Arabidopsis thaliana: one gene and its partners. The protein of the gene in region 2 interacts with the protein of the main gene of each other region in a pairwise test. Each region holds a gene or a part of one and is shown on either strand. Other genes may lie near its edges.

The links. The genes of interacting proteins can lie anywhere in the genome.
Region 1: the proteins of AT3G11590 (region 2) and AT1G30860 interact in a two-hybrid assay, tested with the Arabidopsis thaliana proteins (one large-scale study listed by BioGRID).
Region 3: the proteins of AT3G11590 (region 2) and PPR2 interact in a two-hybrid assay, tested with the Arabidopsis thaliana proteins (one large-scale study listed by BioGRID).

The regions. Positions count from the first base shown.
Region 1 is NC_003070.9:10,985,970-10,991,521, forward strand, and holds AT1G30860 (RING/U-box superfamily protein), read right to left. Parts: upstream 3,625-5,552; 5' UTR 3,278-3,624; coding exon 2,525-3,277; intron 2,426-2,524; coding exon 2,307-2,425; intron 2,220-2,306; coding exon 1,536-2,219; intron 1,452-1,535; coding exon 1,130-1,451; intron 1,042-1,129; coding exon 727-1,041; 3' UTR 527-726; downstream 1-526. Other genes in the region: RSH4 (root hair specific 4), read left to right, coding at 1-49.
Region 2 is NC_003074.8:3,658,467-3,664,255, forward strand, and holds AT3G11590 (golgin family A protein), read left to right. Parts: upstream 1-1,831; 5' UTR 1,832-2,031; intron 2,032-2,130; 5' UTR 2,131-2,161; coding exon 2,162-2,644; intron 2,645-2,697; exon of another isoform or gene 2,698-3,319; coding exon 3,320-3,442; intron 3,443-3,808; coding exon 3,809-5,071; 3' UTR 5,072-5,268; downstream 5,269-5,789. Other genes in the region: AT3G11591 (bric-a-brac protein), read right to left, coding at 5,314-5,505.
Region 3 is NC_003074.8:1,955,883-1,960,203, forward strand, and holds PPR2 (Tetratricopeptide repeat (TPR)-like superfamily protein), read right to left. Parts: upstream 2,423-4,321; 5' UTR 2,359-2,422; coding exon 2,032-2,358; intron 1,910-2,031; coding exon 776-1,909; 3' UTR 527-775; downstream 1-526. Other genes in the region: ATG8H (Ubiquitin-like superfamily protein), read right to left, coding at 197-252, 350-392.

The sequences.
Region 1 (5,552 bases), on a different chromosome or scaffold from region 2:
TAAGGCTAGAGATGACTTCAACACCTTCTTGACCGCACAAAACGCTTGAATAAGGAAAACAAAAACAGAACACAGAGTTTTATTTATAATATGTATGTATGAAATGAGTGTAATGTATCTACGGATGATGTGTAAATATTATGGAGAGAAAGAGAGTGTTGAGTCTTTGAGAAATCAAAATCGATAAAGGGTTTATGATTCTAAAACAACTCAAAAAGTATAATTTTTAGTGTTTGCTTAGAAGCTCTATCTCCAATTTTTGAGGGTTTGTTTGGCTTTGTTGAATCTTTATGAAATAAATTTGACCAAGAGTAGATGATTATGAGAGTATTTTATAATCTATGTGCTTCACTTTTGCATCGAAGATCTGTTTTCAGACTTTAATCTACAATTTTTAGAGTGTACTCAATGAGGTATCAAAATCAATGAAATGATGGTTACTAGAGTAATTGCAAAAATTCATGTATGTTTCCAAGCTCTGTTTGTGACTTGCCTTTTCAGGTTTTAAGGTTTATTTTTAGGCTATTTTCCGTTAATTTTTTTGGTTGGTTTAGGAGATCAAAAACTTCATAAAACTGGACAAAGTGTTGGTAACATAACCTAAAAACTGTATAAAGAGAGCATAATACGATATTCAGACCCAAAACGCCAAATAACGCAAACTCGATAAGGAAAAGAGGGTTTAATGGGTTAGTGAATTCTTCAGCGTTTTCAAAACGGTTGATTTCAGTTTCTTGTATCGTAGATGACACGAACAACGTCAACAATCTGAGCTCTGCAAATCGGACATTTCCCTCCACTCCAATGTAGTTCGTTGGCACATTTTAGGCACATGCACATATGTCCACACCTGTACAAAACCGCCTCGACCTGTGTTTCGTCGCAGACGCAGCATTTTCGTTTCATTGGGTTTTCTTGGTGAGCCTTGTGTTGCAAGCTCGCGTTAGCATCTAAACACGTTTTGACAGAATCTCGTAGTACTGACATTTCTTGCTGAAGCTGTTGGATCTGTGATCTCATACCGCTTATCAGCTCCATTTCCTGAAAACGTTTATATGCGGCTCAATGAGTTTACCACTAGTGCGGTTGCGAGTTTCTATAGTATAACAAGAAATCGATAAACACTCACAGGTGACTGAGGATTCTGAACAACCAAGGCAGGAGTGGAAGTAACATCAGTGTCTTGAGAACTCCATGATCCTGCAGGAGACGATGCAGATATATGTGAAGACGACGATTGGCTCAAGTCATCTCTATCATCTTGCTCTTCACCTCCTCTTAATGGCTCTTCTTTGATTTCTTCATCAATTTCAAAATTTACTTCCTCCTCTTCTTCTTGTTGCAATTCCCATTTTTTGGAGTGCTTATCCGAGTGTGTCTGTACACGGGACATCATGAGATTATCGATCTTCTCTCGCAACCCGCTGTCGAGGAAATCTGTCACCGTTCTTCTGTATTAAGCAGGGAAATTCATTTTCTTAGTCAGTTATTAACCATTAAGAAACATGAGCTTGTCAATTTTGATGGTTACTTACCGCTCAAGGAGTCTGCATATGTCATCTTTCTCAGACCTAGTGTTCATTACTTCCAGGTACCGTGACTTCCTCAATTCCTCCCAGTAACTCCGAGGCCTAGCTATTTCACTAAGCCAGTCGTCGTTATATTCTCCATAATAAGACTGCTCATCTGCATACTCTTCTTGTTCTCCCCATCTATTCAAATAGGATGTTTCTTGTTGATCAAGGCACTGGTCCATCTCATTACTCTCATGAACTAGACCTTCTGTTTCTCGAGTTTCTTGCATATACTTTCCCACATTGTTCTCGTCTTGATTCTGTCTCAACCGCGATTCTCGAGATAAATATTCACTCGGGCTAGTATTTTCTTCTTCTTTCTTTTCAGACTTGCCATCGTTGCAAGTTTCTTCTACTTCTCTTGTTTCTTGCAGCTGAAGGCAATTCTTTTGTGAATCAACTGTTCCACTTACAGATTCTTCTTCCTTACATAACGTTGCTTCCTCTATCTTGCGGTTACGGGGTCTCAACCGCTCTGCGAAAAAAGCTTCGAGAGTAACACCACCATCCTTTAACCTCGTGCTTGTGGTAGTAGTTCCTTCTGTTTCTTCTACGGATTTGTTGTTCATCTCAGTGGATCGTTGATGATTCTTCCTCTTATCTGTTGCAGCCGCAGAGTTTACTACGTTCGCATGAAATTTCTCCCTGCGTTGCCAATCAAAGATTGAAAATCTGAAGAAAGTAAACCCTAAGAACTAAACTCAAAACATAAAACAGAGAATCTGAAAAAACCTTAAATGCAGAACAGCAGAGCCTGATTCAATTCGGTTTAATCCGGTTGTTTTTGCGTTAGACCGGTTTCTATCTTGAATCACAAGACAGCGATTGAGGTTCCTTAACCTTAGCATTGACTGGTTAAATAATGTAATTAGAAAAACCATTTAGTGGATTATGAATAAAGTCACAAATATGTTAGTTATTTTTATCAAAATAGTGAAAATATAATTTACCTGGAGACGACCACGTTGAGTAAACCTAGAAACTGCGTTGCGTTCAAAAAGCGAATCCAATTCACGGTGGCGATCACGTTCCATTTGCATAAGAAAATCGGTAAACGCTTGTCGTCCTCGTATCTTCGGAGAGAAACTAACCACCGGAAAATTACTTTTCTCCGATGACGACGAAGTGCAATAAGGCCTCGGCGTTCTGATAATCTCGAGTCCACCGCCACCGCCGCTGCCATTATCTCCAGCGGTTCGTTTCTTGTCTTCGTTGCTAAGCCTCCGAATTAGGTCAGCGACTCGTCCCCATTTACTTTCTCCGGAATCAGAAACCAAACCATGTGACCTAGATTCAATCTCCACCGTTCGATCAGCAATTTCAGAATCTCCATCGATTGATGAAGATTCTGAAAGACCGGAATCTTGAACACTAACTCCTGAATCGCTCCGACTACTACTACTCGCCGTAGATTGACTGCTACTCGGCGAGTTTCCACCGTTGGATCGGTTTAGCCTCGCCTCCCATATCTGAACCAAAGAAGAAGCCACAAGATTGTCGTTTCTCTTCGATTCTAACGGAGATTCAAGAACACGATTGTTCTTGTTATTGTGAGTTTCGATCCAAGAATCAACTAAATTCTCATCGGAGACATGAGATTTCAAAACCTCTTTCACCGGAGATTTCAGATTCTTTTGAAAAACGCCAGCGTTTTGGTTACGATCTCTTAAGATTAAACCGAATCTCTGAGGAGAAGACACCATTTTTTTACGATCTAAGAATCGAACAAACGAACATAAAATCAAATAATCATTAGAGTTTTTGAATCGATCGAAAGAAGTTAGAGGACAACTCTGTTTTCTCTGTCTCTCTACAAGAAGAAGAGAAAATGGATTTGTGTTAGTGAAGAGACAGATTTTTCTCTCTGTTTTTTTTTCCTGTTAAAGAAACAGAACAACAACAAACAAACGGTGGAGATACGATGATGATGAAGAAGCAAAACAGAACCAAACAGTATTTGTGCTTATCTATTTAGTAAGAGGACTTATAAATGTTAAGAGTCCTAAAATGGCTCTGTTTTGTCCCTTAAACTGGGGAACGTGTCTGTAAAACAAGGCAATAAAGAATGAGGTGTAAGAATACAGAGAAAGAAAAGCCTTATGTGGCCAAAAGTGATAAATTGTTATAGAAAAATAAAAAAGCTACTTATAATTTTGGACAAAATTGAATTTGAAAGATATTGTATAACACATGTCATTATACTGGTAAAAGCATTTAATTGTGTAATGCATGAAAAAATTAACATTGGATTGTTATACTAATTAAAGGGTGATTAAATTATTTAATAATTAAGGCTCCTAAATATGCTAGAGTCAAAAAGGAGCCGTTGAGGAATTTAGCCGTTGTCGAGTGGGAACCATGCACTTTCTGGATTTTATGCCACATCATAAATCAAATTGAAGAACTAAAGATAACAAACAATTTTAAATTGTATAACTGACAGGAACAAAAACTTTTAAGCAAAGTAAAAATAATTTAATTAGAGAAAATTAGATGTTCAACCCAAGTTTCATGTAGTGTGCGATTTTATTGTAGTGTGGTCAATAGGCCCAGGCATAGTGGTCAATGTCGTGCTTGGGTTAGTCGAATAGAGAGAGAACTTAGGACGAGTTGTGATTTGTGACTCTTATAAAACGATTTAAGAAAAAATAGTCTCTATACAAAATAACGATAATTGAAACCAATAATAAGGTTCACAACCGATCATTTTCGGATCCCGATGAGTTAACGATTAGTCAACGATAGAGTAAAACGACCGATTAATCGAGACTTAGTGTCTATGATATTGGCACATACGACATATATTTCGTATATATATTTCAGGTAACTGGGTATCGTTTATATTAGTTGCGGCATATGTGATAATGTATTCTTCCACACTTCGTATAGCTAGCTGACAATCTTTTTTCTTAAAGTTTAAGTATTAGGAAGTATTATCCGGTAGATAAAGAAGATGGACGATTGAAAAAGCGATTGATACGATTTTTCTTCTGTGATTTTTCCGACCGGCCGGCGTTGGTTCCGACTTCGATTGTACTCTTTTCTCCTTTATAATTCTAGCAAATATTAGTTTACATACATATATTTCAGTTATTAACAATGAGTTCTAGAGAATCAACTGCTTTTGGTTGGCCTCTTTTCACACTGTTGGCGATTTTCATGACCCAAAAATTGAGTTTTCTACAATTATTTGTAAGAAATATAAATTATAAAAACTAGAAAAATATATGAAAAAGTTTAAGGTTTTGACTAGTGAGAATTTGTTGTATAGTTCAAAAAAACTCAAAATTTGAACGTTTGAAAACTTGTTGAGATGCATCAATTTTCAATAAACGTAGCCTATGGTGAATTGTTTTTTTTTTTTTGTCAACATGTCTCTAATGGACCTATTTTTCCGTGCTAAAAAATGTGCAGAGGTAATATCGCTATTTTTGTTAGAGGATCTGAGCAAATTCATTATTAATGATTGTGCAAAAAATTTGTTAATTTCGATATATCACATTTTGCTTTACGGATTACTCGAAAACATACTTTGATGTCATCATCCAGTGTATATATACGTATGTTAATTGTAGACAACAAAATAAAATAATAATAGTCTCACATAACCGACCAAAAAACAAACAAAATTAAATCAATGGAAGTTGTTGACAAATAAATTTTACAATTAATCTAATCCAAATAAGTCAAAACCCTGATTTCAGTAATGTAAAGATCATTATATCATTTTTTCTCTTGTAAAAAGGTTTTTTAAAATTATACTATTAATATATATCATTTGATCAAAAAAAAATTATATATCATAAACATTATATACGACATGCAGGCAAGTCACTCGAATATTCAAATCTTAAAGTTGTGCCTCCCACGTAAAAGCATCACATTAGTTTCCAAACCCAATTGTATATATAAATTACTACACAACACACCTCTCATCAAACAAATTCATCAAAGCCAATCAAATTGAGAGAGATATCA
Region 2 (5,789 bases):
TAGTAGATGTTGATAGTTGGGTAATGGAGCAAGTGAAAGATTGATGGTTGGTAGACCATAGATTCATGCATTCATACCATAAGGTATACTGATGGTGATTGGGTAAATTTTTGAGTCAGCTATTACAATTGAAAAGTTCATCAAATGACAAAACTATTACAACTTAGATCTTTGACAGCCAAAAGAAAAAAAAAAAAAAAAGAGAAAAAAAAAACTAAATTGTTGTTAGAAATTAGAAGTCAGAAGTAAGAAGACTCCCATAGGAATACAGTTCTGGCAACCAATTTCTTAGTTCTTTATTGGGCATTCATATCTTAGTTGGGCCTGACTCATATATATTTTGAACTTTTTGTACGCAATTGTATCTAACACTATAGTCTTACATTGTTCATATATTTAATGTTTTATATTGATTGCTACCTATATATTTTGATATGATGTAGATCCAACTATTTCTAGGTTGAATTGTCTTTTCGAACAGATTTTGTTTCCGGATTCACCATAAAAAAAAAAAAAAACTTATGTGACAGAAAGTACTATAGAAAGAATCGTGTTTACAACAATAAAGAGACTTGACCCAAACAAAAAACGTTTACAACAATAAAGAGTTGAACAATAATACGGTACGATTGTGTATGTTGAATCATCTCCTCCACTTGGACGTGTCCATTTGACAACGGAAAAAAGTGTGGCCGTGTTATCTTTCTTTGTAACGTTTACAGTTTCAATTGTTTAGTTTGATCAAATAATTAACTTGTGAATTTTATGGATGCAATATCTTGAAAACTAGGAAATCATATCTGATCATCCTGCTATAAAAAAAATAATACATGCATTTTAATATTCATGGTTTCACATGAATACTTCGGTCATCCATTTTTCAATTACACGAGTGTAAATCTGTAATATCAATATTCATTTATAATTATAACGGGTTGTGATTTGTGAAATTGTGGGTATAGATAAAACTTCAAAACCTATTGAAATGAATATCTATATACTTGGAATAGTAGTAGACACATTTTGTAATGAGTAACTTAAGCACACCGGTTCTCACTCACACTCGTCTAATGGAGAAAAATGGTATATTATATACCTCATATAGGAACATGATCATATGATTTAGGAGTCATAAGCATGAGATTAACAAGATATTTTGGTCCACATTAGGAATCTACTAAAGGAACTATTTTCTTATAACCTAAAAATCTTGGTTTGGTAAAAAGAACAACCTTAGATTATTTGGTCTTTTATCGATTCATGTAATTGTGTATCAAATGATTAAAATCTAATGCATCCTACTCAAACACGTCATTTAAGAAACCCTATATAGTACAAACACGATCCAATCTCCAAATTAACCCATAGTATATCATAGACGAGCATAATATTTTTGGTCAAATATAAAATTAGATGCACTAGTTCCCTTTATTTAGGCAGATGGACTTTCTTCTAATCGAAAATAATTGTTCTCAATGAGCCGTCAAACTTTGTGAAATATGGATATAAATTCATGACATCTACATAATTTTTGGTTTAACATGTGAAATTGAACTTAGGATCTATTTCATTCGAATTCTTACCATATACTAACCAAATATAAATAATGTTTACTGCTAAATACTATTTATATAAGTTTGTTCTTCACTAAAGAAATTTGTTGATTAGTTTGTTTTTCTAATTGAGAATCTCTTATTTCAGGACCGATAAAAAGGAAGTGATTTCCGGTTTTCGATTCAATTATTTCGGTTTAAGTCGGTTTACAAATCATCCACCCTGTAAATCACGGAGCAACATCCATAATCCATACAGATCAAACCACGTGGACATGTTACAGTGTTCCTTATCACAGAAGATGAGTACTCCTGTCATCTTTCCCCTTTTCACTTTAACATAACACTCTGTACACTAGTCTGATCAAAAAACCTCAAAACACAGCAACCGCCATTTCTTTCCAAATTCCCCCAATTCCCATTCCAACTTTATCTTCTGAAGTAGAAGAAGAAGCCATAGAAATGCTTTGAAGTTTCTGTAAGTGTTCTTACTCACTCTAAAAACTTCAATTTTGGTCTTTGTGCTTTTTTCTAACAGATCGGTGAAATTTTCTGAATCTGCTTTTTGTTTTTCCAGGTAAAGAGAAAGATCTACAATTGTTTTGAATATGCCGAGGCAGAATCAAAGCGTAGAGAATCTACTTCTACTTGGCAAAATCAGGAAACGTGGTTGTTCTTCGCCGACATCGTCGACTTCTTCGATTCTCCGTGAAGGTTATAGATTCAAAAGAGCGATAGTTGTTGGTAAAAGAGGAGGATCCACTACTCCTGTACCTACATGGAGACTTATGGGTCGATCTCCTTCTCCACGAGCTTCCGGTGCTTTACACGCTGCTGCTTCTCCGTCGTCTCACTGCGGGAGCAAAACCGGTAAAGTATCAGCTCCTGCTCCTGTTTCAGCTAGGAAGTTAGCTGCGACGCTTTGGGAGATGAACGAGATGCCTTCACCTAGAGTTGTGGAGGAGGCTGCGCCAATGATTAGAAAGAGTAGAAAGGAGAGAATCGCGCCGCTTCCTCCGCCGAGATCATCGGTTCATTCTGGTTCTCTACCGCCTCATCTTTCTGATCCGTCGCATAGTCCAGTCTCTGAGGTAAAATGCTTTGGTTATGATTGGTTGAGAGGAAGAGAATGTGCTGTAATTCCAACTTCTTGCTGGCTGCCATGTGCTTTAATTCTGACCGATCAAAAGAGAGAGAGAAAAACAATAATATATATAGTATAGTATTGATTGATTCGGGGAAGTTATAAAGATCTCATCTTTAACTGATAAAATTGATAATCTTTGTGTGATTCTAAGGTCTGAATTTAGTCAAAGTTGTGATTTTTTTGGCAACCTCTATGAGTATTTTAATCATCAAGGGAGATTATTATTCGTATAAGCTTCTGGTTGATGTTAAGGAGTGGGATTAGAGAAGAATAGAAAACTGTTTTGATCTTAAGAATCTTTTGTCATGTGCTCTATAACGCACATTTATGTTTATATGAAAGGGCGTTTCTTTATAAGTTGGTGCCTATTATTCTTGCATAATTGGGCACTTCTACTAGTTTTTATTCTTTCTCATTCGTTGGTCATATGGAGGTAGCTGGTTGTTTTTTAGAGGTTGATTTATTGTGAATAATGTAGGCCTAGATTCTCTTATAATGGAGACCTAAGAAAAATTATATATAATGCTAAATCTGGCAATGGACAATGCGAAGAATTCTGCTTTCTTTACTTCTGTGTGTTAGGTAATTGGATAGCTGAGAAACTTGTTGATTTTTGTAGAGGATGGAAAGATCAGGGACTGGGAGTCGCCAGAGAAGAGCTTCATCAACTGTGCAAAAGCTTAGGCTTGGAGACTGCAATGTGGGGGCTAGGGATCCTATTAACAGTGGCAGCTTCATGGATGTAAGTTGATTTTTTTATTTTTTTTTCACTCTTGGGGATGTTTCTTTGAGCATTATGAGGAACCCTTTCTTCTAGCAGTTTTCATAATTTTCTCAAACCAAATTTGGTATTTGATTAAGGATGAAAGTAGTATATTATTGAGCATTATTGGCTCCAGAGGCTGTTGGTTTTTTTACTTTGGAAGCATACGTACACATAATCTATGGTTTGTTTTGTTATGCACAGAAACATTGCAAATAACGGTATAAGAAACTAGGAGACACTCAATCCGTTATGATTAGTTAATTTGCCTCCATCATCTATAAATCAATATGTGTGCAAGAGAGTGATGTTCAAAAATATTTGAAATGTGTTTTTCCAATGCAGATTGAGACTCGATCACGGGTGGAGACACCGACTGGGTCAACTGTGGGTGTCAAAACACGGTTGAAGGATTGTAGTAACGCTCTCACAACATCAAAAGAGCTTCTCAAAATCATTAACAGAATGTGGGGTCAAGACGACCGCCCATCTTCTAGCATGTCCCTCGTCTCTGCTTTACATTCTGAGCTCGAAAGAGCTCGCTTACAGGTCAATCAGTTAATCCACGAACATAAACCGGAAAACAACGACATTAGCTACTTGATGAAGCGTTTTGCCGAAGAGAAAGCTGTGTGGAAAAGCAACGAGCAAGAAGTTGTTGAGGCTGCAATCGAATCTGTTGCTGGTGAGCTAGAAGTGGAGAGGAAGCTGAGGAGACGGTTTGAGAGCTTGAACAAGAAATTGGGCAAAGAATTGGCTGAAACAAAATCAGCTCTGATGAAAGCAGTTAAAGAAATCGAGAACGAGAAGCGAGCGAGAGTGATGGTTGAGAAAGTTTGTGATGAACTAGCAAGAGACATAAGCGAAGACAAAGCCGAAGTTGAAGAACTGAAGAGAGAATCTTTTAAAGTCAAAGAAGAAGTCGAAAAGGAAAGAGAGATGTTGCAGTTAGCAGATGCATTGCGGGAAGAGAGAGTACAGATGAAACTATCGGAGGCTAAACACCAGCTCGAGGAGAAAAACGCAGCTGTTGATAAGCTAAGAAACCAGCTTCAAACTTACCTCAAAGCAAAAAGATGTAAAGAGAAGACCCGTGAACCACCTCAAACTCAGCTACATAACGAAGAGGCTGGAGATTATTTAAACCATCACATCAGTTTTGGATCATATAACATCGAAGATGGAGAAGTCGAGAATGGAAATGAAGAAGGTTCAGGCGAAAGCGACCTTCATTCCATAGAACTGAACATAGACAACAAGAGCTATAAATGGCCTTATGGTGAAGAGAACAGAGGAAGAAAATCAACGCCAAGGAAAAGCCTTTCTTTACAAAGAAGCATATCGGATTGTGTTGATTGGGTTGTACAGAGCGAGAAGCTTCAAAAAAGTGGAGATGGAGGGTTGGATTGGGGAAGATCTATTGACGTTGAGCCTAAAGGGTATATAGATGAAACACAAGCTTATAAACCAAACAAGGCTTCTTCAAAAGATCACCATATCCTCTCGGGTTCGAGACTAAGTAACTTCCGCGGTGGATCTGTTTCAAAGTCGCGGTTATCGGATGCTTCGAAAGGCGAGAACCAGAATGCCAGAAAATCAAGATGGTAATATGATCAAGAAATTTTATTCACATTTTCAGCGCAGAGATAACAGAATCTAAAGACTTTACATCTACATTTTTTCTCTGTTCGCTCGTTTTGTCAAGAGTGATTCTCTCATCTGTAAGTGACATAAAACATGAATTTGAACTGGTAATGATCCAAACATGTAAGAGCATGAATTTACACGAAATCGTCTTTTGATTTATATCATTTAAGAGTTAGAACGCCTACAAGATCGAAAAAAAGACACTAATCGTCGAGCCATTTCCTGATTCGATCCTTGACGAAATCATTACGAGCTTTGACGCGAGCTTGTTGCGGTGAGATGTTGGCGAGTGAGAGATACGCTCCGGCGACGAAGAGAGAAACGCCCGCCGCGAAAAAACCCACCGACACTACTAACTGCCGCCGTGTCGGCGGATACGACATAAAAAACACCATCTTATCGTTTACCGCCGTCTGTTGCAAAAGCTGTTTAATACTAACTGTTAATGGGCCGGGGTTTTTTATTTTATTTTGGGCTTTATTTTTAATCTCCAATTTCTCAACAAATTAAAAAAAAAGAGTATTAAAAAAAAGGAATGAAGATTAAACCGAGAAGGCGAGAACTTTTTTTTTTTTTGTTATTGGTTATTTAATATTATAAACAATGGTTTAATGGATTATTTTCGAATTTAGATCCATACAAAATTTGAAAAGAGCCCAATCAACTATACCAAACCGAA
Region 3 (4,321 bases), 1.7 Mb from region 2:
CGTATCCATCAAACCATGGCGAAGAAATTCTAAGATTGAAACAGAGATTCTAGCAAATTCGAGAGATGCAAGTCAAACGAAGACTTTTTTTTAATTGAGTAAATCATTCGAACCCTAAGGAAATCCACAATCGCACGGCAACTAAGACGGAAACACCAAGAAACAAATCAAACATGAAATTTATGAAATAACTTACAGGTATTCTATCTGGATATTTCGCAATGATGTTGTTCGACTCCTTCAATCTCTCATCTATATCCTCAAACAAAGATGAAAACTTTGCTTCAGAAGCACATTTCGAAGGAAAAAAAATTCCAAAGAATCAGAAAGAGATTAACGAAGAACAAACCAGAGGAGAATTGATCCTTGAAAGACTTGACAACAATCCCCATTACAGATTTCACGACGAATGATTCCTGACCGAATCGGTGTTTTTTTGTTTGCAGAGAGCAGAGGAAGAGGATGTGTTCAATTTTATGTTTGGTTAGTTCGTTTTTGATTGTTCGAGAAGAAACGGTAAAAGATGAGAGAAAAGAGATTATTTATAGAAAGACGACACGCACTTATCCACTTTTTGGACTTGTCCGATTTCTTGTGCACGTCACAGTTTATCTATGGGCCTCTATTCATAATTTTGGGCCCATCAAAATATATAACACGCATAGCTGCAAGAACAATCAAGTGTATTACAAACTCTTTTATTCTACTCTTTCAAGTGAGACATCGATCTCTCCTTGCAGAGAGAGAGAGAGAGAGATTCACACACAAACCGCAATCATCCTGCCGGAAGATTCTCCATCTCTTTTGTAGCAACAGTGCGATCCATAAGCTTTTGCCTCTCTTGTTCCAAGTAATAGATCTTATCATTCATACCTTCTTTTTCATACGCCTCGACCATGATCTCAAACGTTCTTGAATCGCATACGCATTGTCTCTCCTTCATTCTTATGTACACTCTTTCCATCTCTATCAGATCATCTGCTTTAGCACACGCTGATATCACCGCGTTGTAAAAGGCAGTATTCTCGGGTATCTCAAACTTAGCAGCCAACTGAACACTACTTATCACCTTGTGGAAAAGACCGGCATTGGCATATCCGTTTATGAGACAGCAAAAGGTCTTTGTGTCTGCTTTCATACCTTCGCTACGCATCTGATCAAATGTCAACTCCATGTTCTTTGCATCACCAACATCCGCAAACGCCTCGATGATATTGTTGTAGGTTGATGTTGTCCACGGAAACTCTAGCTTTCGCATGTATTCCATGACAGACGACATCTTATCATACATTCTCTTCTTCCCATAAGAACCAATCAAAATATTGAAAGTCCGAGTCTCTGGCTCAATCCCAAAGTTCCTGAACTTTTCGTACCAGCTCTCCATCATGTCTATCTTACCCATGTTTCCAAACACACTAAGGATGATATTCATAGTCCACACATCGGGTTTGCAAGCAGTACTCACCAACATATCAGACAAAACTTTCTCCATCTGATCAAACCTTCCGACCCTACCGTACCCACTTAAAACTATGTTCTGGGTCACAGTGTTTGGAGTTATCAAACGCTCGTCCATTTCCTTGTATAACGAATCCACCAAGTCAAACTGAGAAGCATCCACACAAGCCTTGAGCAGAGTGCTGTACGTGAAAACATCAGGTTGGCATTGAGGAAAGCTTTTCATTTTATCAAGAATTGAAAAAGCATCGTCGATGAGATTGCTGCGAGTGTAAGCAGCGAGAAGAGCAGTGTAGAGTTCAACAGTTGGTTCAAGTCCTTCTTCAAGCATTTCGTCGAACAGCTTCTGTGCACGATTGGGTTGACCAGATTTACCGAGAAGAACAAGCAGCTTCATGTAAGTTCCTTCCTTTGGTTGATAAAATGTTTGTTCCCTCAACATATCAAAAACCTAAGATCATCAACAAAATACCCAATTCAATCAAAATCATCTTTCAGCTAAATTATACTCGTGATTCAAAATTGAGTTCAAATTCAATCAAACATGAACGAGAAGAGAGAAAATCGAAATACCTCGAGAGCTTGTAACCACTGCTTTTTGGCGATGAGATCGGACAAAGTTTCAGTGACGGTGTTAACCCATCCGTTAGCTTTGCTTCTCCTGTCAAGTTTCTTCTTCACATTCTTTATCGGAGTTCTTCTCTGATTAACCGGCTCCGTGATTCCGGGGAATTCGCCGTCTTTCCAAAGCCTCTTCTTCGTAACACTTCCCGGAGAAGATTTCGAAGCAGCCAAAACGCATCTAACGATGCCCACATCTCTGTGACGAAACCTACGCTTACCTTCGGGGATTCTGGATGAACATAGCGAAGAAGAAAAGGAGAGAGACATTGACGCCATCGTCTTCTTCCTTCACACCTCACTGTCACTCTGTTTACGGATAATTCCCGTCGATACTCATTTCGGTTGGATATGGTAAAATACCGGTTTATATAACCGAACCGGAAACACATTTGATCCGTTCAAATCCCTTAAAAACCGGATCGTATTTTTAAATATGATCACATAATTGATCATTTAAAAATAATACGAGGCTATTTTTTTGGTGTTCAAAAAGATAAAAATAATAATATGAAGCTCGCATCTCTGTAAGTATATATATATATAAAACTAAAAGGAAAATCACGAATTATAGTATCAAAAATAGATTTAATAATAAAAATAAGGATTGGTGACTGGTGCACAAAAGGTGGTAACAAACAAACACAATCTTGACTAAATTCTATAGAAATATCCCAAAGAAAAAAAAAACAAATCCAGAAAAATATTGTATATTGATTTTGATGATGTCGATGTTGATGTGCAGATATTACTCTTTTATCTATTGCTTCCGTTGGAGTTTAGTTTTGTGGCAACAGTCTATTGTATGACTATCTGGGGATTTGGGAGTTTATCCGGCCGGCAAGCATACATTCATTGGTGTTGTTTGCAACGTTTACAACATTGTTATCATCTATCTTTTATTTACCATAGTAAGCTCTCTCTCTCTCTCTGGCTCTCACTTATTGATGAATATATAGATAAGTAAACTATTAAACTGGTTTTGATAAGTTTTTAATGCGTGAAACAATTAGGACAAAATGCCGCCGGAGACTAAGACCTTCAAGTACATGCCGTTTTGGCTATCGTTAGTTCGTTTCATCAACGCTGGAATTTGGACTGCTTATTCTTTGATCTACATAATTGATATCTACGTCCTTGTAAGTCCTTTTTTGTTTTTGTTTTGATCTACATAATTGATATCCTTTTTTGTTTTTGTAAGAAGGGCGAGCTAAAGAGTTTGAAGAGCTTAAAGGCGAGCTGAAGAGCTTAAGGCGAGCTGAAGAGCTTGAAGACGAGTTGGAGAGCTTGAAGACGAGCTGGGGGACTTGGTGAAGAGAACGAGTTGATAAGCTTGACGAAGAGGAGCGAGCTAACGAGCTTCTTGAGAAGGGCTCGCTGACGAGCTACTTGAGAAGGACGAGCTGACGAGCTATTTGAGACGGACGATCTTCGTGAGACGGGCGAGCTGACAATGTGCTGTCTCGGTGATAGTCAAGCGAGACGACACGTAGTCCATATTAGAAAGGGGTCAAGCCACACGTAGTTCATATTAGAATAAGTGAGCTAGGCCGTCATTGGAGGTAGGTCGGCAGGTAGTTGACGAGCCGGCAGATGTGCGACAAGCTGGATGAACCGTGGTAGAGAGACGAGTTGGATAAACCGAGTTGTTTGCTGAAGGTCTAGACGAGCTGGACGACGAGATAGGTGGACTATGCAGTCAATGGACGAACTGCCGCTAGGCGAGGAGGTAGATGAGTTTTGTTTTCGAGGGATGAGCTGATAGCTAGACGAGGAGTTGGACGAGCTGTATAGATGACAGCTAGACGAGGAGATGGTCGTTGAGTGGAGCATGAAGACGAGCTGAGAAGCTTGAAGACGAGTTGAGGAGCTTGAAGACGAGCTTAGCAGCTTGTTGAGCTTAATGGCGATCTGAAGAGTTTGAAGAGCTTAAAGACGAGTTGGAGAGCTTGAAGACGAGCTGAGGGACTTGGTGAAGAGAACGAGTTGATAAGCTTGTCGAAGAGGAGCGAGCTAACGAGCTTCTTGAGAAGGGCTCGCTGACGAGCTACTTGAGAAAGGCGAGCTACTCTGTGTCTGCGTGTCAGGCGGAATTCCCCCCTTCGACATGACATGCTATTCCGTATTTATAGCACTACGCGTGTAGGGCATTCATCGAGGGATTTGACGAAACTACCCTTCGCCTTAATACTCCTCCTTGGTTTGGAACTTATTTTGGGCTTTTGACTTGGGTTTGGGCATT